3 linked regions of the Saccharomyces cerevisiae S288C genome follow. The gene in region 1 interacts genetically with each later gene. Each region holds a gene or a part of one and is shown on either strand. Other genes may lie near its edges. The genes, in order: PAD1, MET10 and YPR127W.

Region 1 (3,229 bases):
AGTCTCTAAATTCTAAAGCTGGATTTAGCTTCCTCATTTAAATATATAAATTGACAATTCTTTTGAATTGGTGATGTAATAATGTCAAGAATAGAATAACTCAGAGGAAAAAAATCAAAAAGATATGCGGTATTCGTTTACATTCCTGATATATTCCTGATATCACGAGCTTGTCTTATAGGAAAAAGTACGCTACAACGGCGGTCACTTTGACATAAAACTACGTACGCAATTTGGACTTTCGTGAAAATATGCGCGAAGATTGAACTGCGTATCTAGTAAAATATTGTTTTAGACGATATTTAAGCTGACATTGAAAATGAGTAAGAAGTACATGTGTAAATATCTGGGTTCAATTAGAATGATATCGGGAAGTTCACGGTTTGTATTCATTTGCAACAAGTTCTGTCGGGGCTAAAAGAAATATAAAAAGATTTTAGCAAGTAACAAATCAACTCTATTAGTAGTTGAGTAACGTAATAAAATGCTCAGAAAAAGTGTTACTTGCTTTTTATTCCTTCCCAACGAGGAAAAGTGTCAGCGTGGATGCCAAAGCAGTCTAGGATCCTGCCAACACTTTGTTCTAATAGGTCATGAAGGCTCTTGGGTCTTGTATAAAACGCAGGTACCGGAGGAAAAATTATAACACCTGCCCTGCATAAAGACAACATGTTTTCAAGATGGATGGAAGATAAAGGGGTTTCCCGAGTAACCAGTAGTAACTTACGATTCTCTTTAATCGAAACATCGGCAGCTCTTGTAATTAAATCCTCTGTAAAACCGATTCTAATAGCAGCTAGTGATTTCATGGAACAGGGCACAACAATCATACCATCATGCTGGAAAGATCCGGACGAAATGCATGCAGAAACATCACGAACAGAGTATGTCTTGGTTGCCAAGGCCGCCACGTCATGCGGTTCCCAATCTGTTTCATATTTCATTGTTGCTGCACCCCATTTTGAAATCACCAAATGGGTTTCTACGCTCAACTCTTTTAGCACTTGTAGAAGTCTGATTCCCAGTGCAACACCAGTCGCACCAGTAATTGCGACAACAATTCTCTTTGGTCTTGGAGGCGAAGTTGATGCCCTGGTTACTTCCTTTGACAGTTTATGTGTAAGGAAAGATGGTGAAGTTGTAATGGTTCTACCTAGCAAAGGAAAATTAGCAAAAATGCCTGTTGTTTTGAAAAAGGCTATATTAGTTCTTCTTGGAAATAGGAGCATATCTACTCAATTGAAGCTGCTCAATGCGTTGGACTCCGTAGATTGAAATCAATCTATATTTGCAGCATTATGTTAAATGAAATTCTATCCATCACCAATCTTAAAAATGGGTCGAGTATACTTTTTCTGAGAAGTTTAACGGTAAACAGGAAAGGCGCGTCATTTTTTCTGTGCCAACTTTCCTTTTGGAGCATCTCATCATTATTTGAAAACGATACGAAGTGCTACTAATGAAACCATTTTTATGTAAAAAGGCTTTCAGACAGGAATGCAAAGTCTGTAAAATACATCCAATTTCTTGTCTGCAATTTATGTCATAACATGTTAAGCGTTTTGGCTGTCTTCACAGATATACTCTTTTCTTGTGCAATCGTTGTCAAGTTGGTTATAAGTAACAGCACTAGGTGATGTATGGTGTCCCTTGCCCTGTTTTTGATATGCCTATGAAGCGCTGCTGCGTTTTCGAGGTATGGCTTCTGCCGGGCTAACGTTCAAATTAAAGGAACTAGATTCTGCTGTTATCAAACCGACAAGAAGAATGAAGTGCATAACGTATGAAAAATAGGTCCTGTAAAGCTCTGGTAAAATCTTACTGCTCTAAGCGATGCATGATATTCATGGCTAATTTGAAATCTTGCTCTAAAACCCTTTTTGCAAGAAGAATATCATGGCAAGACCGCAAAAAGAGAATAGCACCATTTGCAGTGTTCGAAAGTTGGTGGCTTTTTGTATGTTGCAGTTAAATGATGGTAGAACAGGTTTTTGCGGTGTCCCATGAGAGAAAAGGAAGGAAGACATTCATAGAACATCCATGGCGGCACCCTGCTAAAATATCTTCACCTTAGTATTCAGATTTTCCTACTTCCGTCATCATTCGCTCCAATGTAATAACACGTCCACGTTATCAATAAAGATGTTTTAAAAATTTTTGTGGGACTATTATTGTACTTAAATAAATATTAAGACTACGGAGTCGGGCTATTTTATAAGCTTTTTATAGGCATTGCCGGCAAGCGGAAGAAAATGAAAGTGGACATATTTCCTCAAAAGACAGATCGTCTGGTGTTAAAATACTAAAGTTATGTAGTAATATATGAATATTATTGGTGCGGCAAGGAACAAATATAAACCCCGCAAAATGCTTTCTTAAGTAAATTACAAAATATGATTTGTGAGTTGTGTGTGAATCAACCCTCAAAATTTGCTTTATCGTTCACTGTATCTTCATTTTTGATGTTTGAAGAACTAGACGAATTATCGCCGTTAATTTGGTTATAGGTGTCTTCTACTCTATCTTCACCAAAGTCCTCTTTTTCCATTTCGTCGTCATAAGAGCCCAATGCATTGGCATGATCTTCGACTTCTTGTAGGGATAACTTGGGCAAATGGTTAGCAACTCTCCATGGTTGAGTGCCATCCTCGTATGCTTTAGCAAAGATGATGTCGATTTCCTCCAAACTTCTTCCGGCGGTTTCAGGGTAGAAAAAGAAGATAACTGGAATGTATAAATAATTCATAACAGCAAAAAATAAGTAGCAACCCCAACCGGACTGTCCAATAAATATTGGGGTGAACATGACAACCGCAAAGTTACACAACCAATTAGTACATGTGGAGAAAGCGTTTGTTGATGCACGAACTTTCATTGATGCAATTTCTGGTGGGTATATCCATGGTAATGATAGCAAAGACAAACCAAAGAATGTAATGAACAAAAATAAGCCGACGGCAGCACCTCTTGCGTTTTCTTTATTTTCTTTGACCAAGCATGCAAATGTAATTGTGAATGAAACTGCTTGACCTGTGGCACCTAATAAAAACAGCTTACGTCTACCTAGCTTTTCAATTAGAAAAAATGAACCAATAGTAGATAAGGCGTAGATTGTTGCGAAGACCCCACCTATGATCATTGATAATCTATAGTCTAATTTAATTGTTTTGTTGAATAATACAGTAGAGTAGTATATGGCAGCGTTACAACCAGTAAATTGCTGGAAAAA
Region 2 (3,841 bases), on another chromosome or scaffold:
AAGACTTCACCATCATCATCATCACTATCGCTAACGCCATCGCGCTCTTCCTCCACTGCTGGGCTAGAAGCTGATAACAAGACACTATCAGACCCTACAGTTAAGGAGAAATCATCACTGCTCGAACTCTTCCATATTGTGGCTTCGAAGATGCATAATGCGAATACAGAGGTAGGGTCGGACCACCCACTCACGACTGGCACCACCCGTGATCAAGAAGAACACACCACTAAGGAGAATTACTCAAGCAGCTTACTCGAGCCCAACTATGACGACCACGCGAACTGGAAAATCCTGGATAATGCCTCGAACACAAGAACTGTGCCGATAGATAACAACTTCTCTTTGATGTCTACGGACGTTACAATACCTTCCACAGCAAACTACCAAACAAATAGTGCACATGATCTGGACGAAGAAAAGGAGTACTTTTTTGCCAACTGTTTCCCCATGTACAGAAAAAAATTTCAGTTCAACACACACCCCAAATTCCTAGGGACGAAATCCAAATTATTCATCAACCAAAGCATTTCTCCCGATTGCACCAAATTTGCTCTAATTACTGAACACAAGTGGGAAATTTATTCGATTAATCCGAAGGACAACTCTCCTCAACTAGTATCATGTGGCAAGTCTAGTGGAGAATATGGTCCCAACTTCAACCAACTAACAGAGCAATCGTCATCTTCACTCTCCACTACTTCTCAAGCGTCAAAAAAGAAAAAGAAAAACTGGAGCCAACGTTTTTGCAAACTTTCCAATGATTTCTTGATAATATCGGGTTCGCAAAACATTCTTAATGTACACGACATACACCAAAACGGCAAACTCATCTATACCTACGTGTCGAGATTCCCCATCCGATGCATAGACATAGATCCAAGGTCGCAGATAATAGCCTACGGAATCACCGGAAAGGATAGACATACAGGCGCGGAACAAGCATTAGTCGTGATCCAACAAATTACCAGAAATAAAGTGACTTTGGAGCCCGAGTTCCCCCCACCAATCACCATAACACTTCCATACAGAGATCCCATCAATACCATACAACTTTCGCACGACGCCAAGTATCTGACATGTTCGACCGCGCTAGAGTCGCGGTTCTTGATCATATCTTTGCAGAAAATAAACGAACCAAGACTGATAATGAAAAGTGTTCGGTCCATAGACACTTCCTTAGAATCTGAAGGTATCACTGACACAAAACTTTTCCCAGGAAATCCAAATCTGATGTGTATCACATCAACAGCATTCAATTCATCTCCACTGGTCATAAACACCAAAATCACCCAAATTAACGGTGTACGGACCGTGGCACAACCATCCATGCTTATAAGGGTAGATGAGATTGGATGCAAGATTCACAAGTGCGAAATATCACCAAGAAACGACGCAATTGCCTTCCTCGACCGCAACGGATCAGTTTACATCATGTGTGCCCCCACCATGATGGACAACAACGAAAAAAGAAGGACAATCCTCGTTGAAACCGTGGCAAATGCCTACAGGGCTTATGAATCAGCTACTTTGCGGTTTAACCCAGAGGGCAACAAGCTTTATATTCTCGACAGAAAGGGGACTTTCTTTGTGGAAGACTTTGCATATGGCTTGCCCCAATCTCGCGAAATCACCAAATGTAAGCAAATATTCCACAAATAATGCATCTAAATATATACGTATGTTTAAGGTTCTGGTATACAGGTATTAAAAGAAAACACTATCAACATTCCCAATAAGATATACCACACCACGTGAGCTTATAGAAGCACGTGACCACAATTCACCCCACAGGTGTGGCTTTTTTGGTGCCGTAGAAAAGACTCATTCATGAATCGTCGGAAACCCATAGTCATCTTCGAGCAAAAGGTATATATAAGCAACAGAGGGCAGTAGTTCTCGAGACCACCATCTTTTGATTGGAAATAGTTTCGTTTAGATGGGGTGCACATAGTTTTTTTCAACTGCTTTTCCTCGAGGTCACCCAAATATACAACGAGATGCCAGTTGAGTTTGCTACCAATCCTTTTGGCGAGGCCAAAAATGCAACTTCACTGCCAAAATATGGTACACCCGTAACTGCCATTTCATCTGTGCTGTTCAATAACGTGGACTCCATTTTTGCTTACAAGTCCTTTTCTCAACCCGATTTGCTACACCAAGATCTAAAAAAATGGTCTGAAAAGCGTGGTAACGAATCACGTGGGAAGCCATTTTTCCAAGAGCTGGATATCAGATCTGGCGCTGGTTTGGCTCCTTTAGGGTTTTCTCATGGATTGAAGAACACTACAGCAATTGTTGCTCCAGGGTTTTCGCTGCCATACTTCATTAACTCTTTGAAAACCGTCTCTCATGATGGTAAGTTTCTTTTGAATGTTGGTGCTTTAAACTACGACAATGCTACCGGCTCTGTCACCAACGATTATGTAACCGCATTGGATGCTGCTTCCAAGCTGAAGTATGGTGTCGTGACTCCGATTTCCGCTAACGAGGTACAAAGTGTCGCCTTACTGGCATTGGCGATTGCCACTTTCAGTAATAACTCCGGAGCTATCAATTTATTTGACGGATTAAACTACTCGAAAACCGTCTTGCCGTTGGTCGAATCTGTTCCTGAGGCATCTATTTTGGCAAAACTATCCAAAGTTATTGCACCAGATGCTGCCTTTGATGATGTCTTGGATAAGTTTAATGAATTGACTGGATTGAGACTACATAATTTCCAATACTTTGGTGCTCAGGATGCTGAAACTGTGTTTATCACTTATGGGTCTTTAGAATCCGAATTGTTCAACTCTGCGATTAGTGGTAATAATTCCAAAATCGGGTTAATCAACGTCAGAGTGCCATTACCTTTTAACGTTGCTAAGTTTGTCACTCACGTTCCATCCACTACCAAACAAATTGTTGTTATAGGCCAAACTTTGGATGGTTCTTCGCCTTCTTTCTTGAGATCTCAAGTTTCAGCCGCCTTATTTTACCACGGCCGCACCTCAATTAGCGTTTCTGAGTACATCTATCAACCAGATTTCATTTGGTCCCCAAAAGCTGTCAAATCAATTGTATCGTCATTCATCCCTGAATTCACTTACAATGCCGATTCATCTTTCGGCGAAGGATTCATTTATTGGGCCTCTGATAAGAGTATCAATATTGATGTTGCCTCCAAACTTGTGAAAGCTCTGTCTTTGGAAGATGGGAAATTTGTGTCTTTGAGAACGAAATTTGATAACTTGGCTAATGCTGGTACCTTCCAAGCTCAATTTGTGACCTCGAAAGAACAGATACCTGTTTCAAACATCGATTCTACGAAATTATCAGTCGTTGAAGATGTCAGTTTATTGAAGCATTTAGACGTAGCTGCTACCGTCGCAGAACAAGGTTCAATTGCGTTGGTTTCCCAAAAGGCAGTTAAAGATTTGGATTTAAATTCTGTAGAAAGTTACGTCAAGAATTTGGGAATTCCTGAATCATTCCTAATATCTATTGCGAAGAAAAACATCAAATTGTTTATCATCGATGGTGAGACCACTAACGACGAGTCCAAATTGTCCTTGTTTATCCAAGCCGTTTTCTGGAAATTGGCCTTCGGTCTAGATGTCGCAGAATGTACCAACCGTATCTGGAAAAGCATTGATTCAGGTGCAGACATTTCAGCAGCCTCGATTTCTGAATTTCTCACTGGTGCATTCAAAAACTTCCTCAGTGAGGTTCCGCTAGCGCTGTACACTAAATTTTCTGAAATAAACATTGAAAAGAAAGAGGATGAGGAAGAGCCTGCAGCTTTACCAATTTTCGTTAATGAAACATCTTTCCTCCCAAATAACAGTACCATTGAAGA
Region 3 (3,483 bases), on another chromosome or scaffold:
TAGCTACAAGACAACAAACAGTCCATTCTGCAGAGTCTGCCAAATTTACCAACGTTATTAAGGACATTTACCGTGAAAATAATGGGGACATAACTGCTTTTTGGAAAGGTTTAAGAACAGGTTTAGCATTGACGATAAATCCTTCCATCACATATGCCTCTTTTCAAAGACTTAAAGAAGTTTTTTTCCATGACCATTCCAACGATGCTGGCAGTTTGTCAGCAGTGCAAAATTTCATTTTGGGTGTCCTTTCCAAGATGATTTCGACTCTAGTTACGCAACCCTTGATTGTCGCTAAAGCAATGCTTCAAAGCGCTGGCTCTAAATTCACTACTTTCCAAGAAGCGCTACTATACTTGTACAAAAATGAAGGGTTAAAATCTCTTTGGAAGGGAGTTCTTCCTCAATTGACAAAGGGTGTCATTGTGCAAGGTCTGTTGTTTGCTTTCAGAGGAGAATTGACAAAATCTTTAAAGAGGCTAATATTCTTGTACTCTTCTTTTTTCCTAAAGCACAACGGACAACGCAAGCTGGCTTCCACTTGAGAATCCTTACTATTACTGAAATAAGCACATTGCGTTTAGAATCTTTACATATCAAATTTAAAATTTATATAAACAATGGAGATTCACTTTTTTAACCTTACGCCATTTCGTATCTGTCACCAACAGTATGGAAAGTAGTCAAATATTTGTTAATGGCATTGAACTCTTGATCGGTAAGTTTGGTTTTCTGTTCATCAAAGTTTTCATTAACCTTGGAAATAGAAGAGCCACTTGGAATTGGGATAAATTTGGCGCCACTGTATTCCGGAACTTTGTTCCAGTGCTTAACCCATCCCAAAGCCAGTTGTGCAAGAGTAATGGAGTTGTTTTGTGGGCGCTTGTCGACTATTTCTTCCTGTAGAAACCTGACCAAGGTCAGGTTTTTTTTCAAAGACTCGTCGCTAAATCTCTTTAACGACTTTCTAAAGTCACCCTCAGGGATATCAGCGTTTGACTTCAATTGACCTGTCAACAATCCTCTGCCCAGTGGGGAGTAGCAGATGATGGACAACCCCAATTCAGCACATGTTTTAGCAATTCCGTTGTGTAAAATGTCATTACTGAACAAAGAAAGTTCCACTTCAACGCAGGTCAAAAACTTTCCCCAATCCTTGTGAATAGCTCTAATTTGCTCTTCATTAACTTCACTTAATGAAATACCGCCAATAACGCCTTCGGAGATCATCTCAGCAAGCGCTTCGAACGATTCGTAGGGGTAGACCTCTCCTTTCGTGCATAGGGAAGTGTCGATTCTTGCGACTTCGAAGATGTCGATGTAGCCACCAATAGCACTAACTGAATTCTTTACGCTTTGTACAACATCATCGTGACTGCCTCTGGGGGTTAAGGTAGCATTGTCTGCACCACCTTTACAACTGATAACCACATCCTTTCTCAAATCTGGGTATTTCGCAAAGAAGTCGTGAACATACGACAAATTAATAAAATCGGGACCATAGAATTCACCAACGTTGAAAAAGGCCTTGTGCCCACGTTCTCTGGATAACTCAACCACTCTGTGCATGGCCTCGAAAGCCTGCGACTGAGGGATAGGCTCGGCTCTCCAAGTCAAACTCATTAAACCATAGCCAGTATCTAACTTGTGGATGTTGTTTTTCAAATCGGCGACAGACATTTTATTTTTACTTTTTTTGGTGTATATTTTAGTTAATATGTACCTGTTTTTCTATTCTACATAACATAGAAAATGGCAAGGAAAATAATTTTAAGAGAGAGTCCTGAGATGAAGTAAAAAATTTGGTAAATTGACAACCCCTTATATAATAAATGCCTATTCTACGGTTCAATAGACACTCTATTCTTTGAGTAATTTTGAGGGAGAGCAGCAATGATTAACTTAGTACCGTTCTACCAAGTACGCCCTTGATTACCTCATTAACGAACAAAAACGCAGATCCCTTCCTAAGGCGGCCGAGACGGCCGCTTCATCCGTCTCGGCCGGGTGTCATTCTTCTAATATATTTGGTAAAGGACTTGGGAGATGCGCAAAAGGGAGATAGTTGCGCTTTTTTTTTGTCTAACAACTAACGGGTAAAAATGTGGACAGCACGAGGAGTAGTTTAAGAAATAACTTTAAAAAAAAATATTGGCAAAGCAGATATGCAAGAAGTTACGGGTAAGGCTTCTAGTAGTCGTGCATGTGTTGATCCCCTACGTTGATACTATCTATGTGTGCAAACACCAGCTTTACAAACAAAAATTTCATATAGTAGTGTATTTTATTTATCTTATGTACAAAATCTATAGTAGAGTTCACTACATTTTCTTTTCATTGCTAAAAAAGCAGTTTCGTGCAAGTATGTATAAAAAGAATGTTGGCGAGAGTAGCGGAGAGTGTATCGTGCGGTTTAATGGGCCAGGTGAAAACTGGGTTACTTCTCTTTGATGGCAGCGGCTTCTCCGATAGGCTTGGTGTCATGCGGTTTTACGTCTGGAGCAGCCGCATCTATGTTCTTGTCTTGGTCGTCCAAGCTCAACTCATCCTTGACGCTCACAATGGCGTTCTCTTCTTGCTGCTCTTCTTCCTTCATAATTTCTTCTTGCTCCCTCAATTGTTTCAATTTTTGCTTAGCGGATGCCTCATCTTCCTTAACGACGTTTACTTTAACCTCATGGTATAGTTCATCAGGGATACCGATTAAAACGTCACATAATGCGTCGTACAATGACTCCTTTGATTGCACATTACCGTAGTTATAGGCAGTAGCCATGATTAACAGCGTGGATGGGATCTTATCCTTGAGCCTCATGTTCAGCCACAATCTTAGATTCGAATATAACACGCTAGGCTCTACGTCTACACTTCTAATACCTCTGGAGGCGCATGCTGTTTTCAATTCAGAGAGGGAGAGTTGTTCTGCATCCTCGTAATATATAGATAGATCATCTTTTTTCAATTCAAGCATTTTGTATCTGATACGGTAACGTAGCATCACATCAGTGCCGAATGGTTGCAAATTCATATACTTCGCTAATGCAATCAAGTAAGGTCTTGTCACATTATCCAATACAGTATCATCAGTGAATAATCTAGCTACTTCGATTAGCTGTTGACGAGACTCCGGCACTCCTGTAGCACGGACATGTGTGTAGAACCTGTTAAACAAAGCTTTTTGTTCCTCGGAAATATTATTAGGTTTAAAATGGGACTTGTTATTCTTTATGATTTCAGACATTAACTTCCTTGTGTTTCTTAAATTTTCTAGTTTATTCTCGCGTTTTTTACTTGATTCATAAGTAGAAGGAAGTAAATTGGGGAATAACTTTAATGCAAATGGAAGAAGAAGTTCAGCAAAGGGTATAATGAGGAAAGCAGCAAATGGAACCAACCGAACGATATCTTGAGTAGTTCTTTTCAGTTGTAAATTTTCTCTTCTCGTCAATGGGTAGCCTGCAGCACTCTTCATGAGCAATTTGG

The links.
Region 2: mutations in PAD1 (region 1) and MET10 together harm fitness more than expected from each alone (negative genetic interaction), as found in Saccharomyces cerevisiae (one large-scale study listed by BioGRID).
Region 3: mutations in PAD1 (region 1) and YPR127W together harm fitness more than expected from each alone (negative genetic interaction), as found in Saccharomyces cerevisiae (one large-scale study listed by BioGRID).

The regions. Positions count from the first base shown.
Region 1 is NC_001136.10:1,508,902-1,512,130, reverse strand, and holds PAD1 (phenylacrylic acid decarboxylase PAD1), read right to left. Parts: upstream 1,230-3,229; coding exon 501-1,229; downstream 1-500. Other genes in the region: putative phenylacrylic acid decarboxylase FDC1, read right to left, coding at 1-37; glucose-inactivated glycerol proton symporter STL1, read right to left, coding at 2,417-3,229. UniProt on the Saccharomyces cerevisiae protein: Flavin prenyltransferase that catalyzes the synthesis of the prenylated FMN cofactor (prenyl-FMN) for the ferulic acid decarboxylase FDC1/ubiD.
Region 2 is NC_001138.5:211,312-215,152, forward strand, and holds the start of MET10 (sulfite reductase subunit alpha), read left to right. Parts: upstream 1-2,000; coding exon 2,001-3,841. Other genes in the region: PTR3 (Ptr3p), read left to right, coding at 1-1,662. UniProt on the Saccharomyces cerevisiae protein: This enzyme catalyzes the 6-electron reduction of sulfite to sulfide. This is one of several activities required for the biosynthesis of L-cysteine from sulfate.
Region 3 is NC_001148.4:788,280-791,762, reverse strand, and holds YPR127W (pyridoxine 4-dehydrogenase), read right to left. Parts: upstream 1,681-3,483; coding exon 643-1,680; downstream 1-642. Other genes in the region: ANT1 (Ant1p), read left to right, coding at 1-545; YLH47 (Ylh47p), read right to left, coding at 2,438-3,483. UniProt on the Saccharomyces cerevisiae protein: Catalyzes the reduction of pyridoxal (PL) with NADPH and oxidation of pyridoxine (PN) with NADP(+).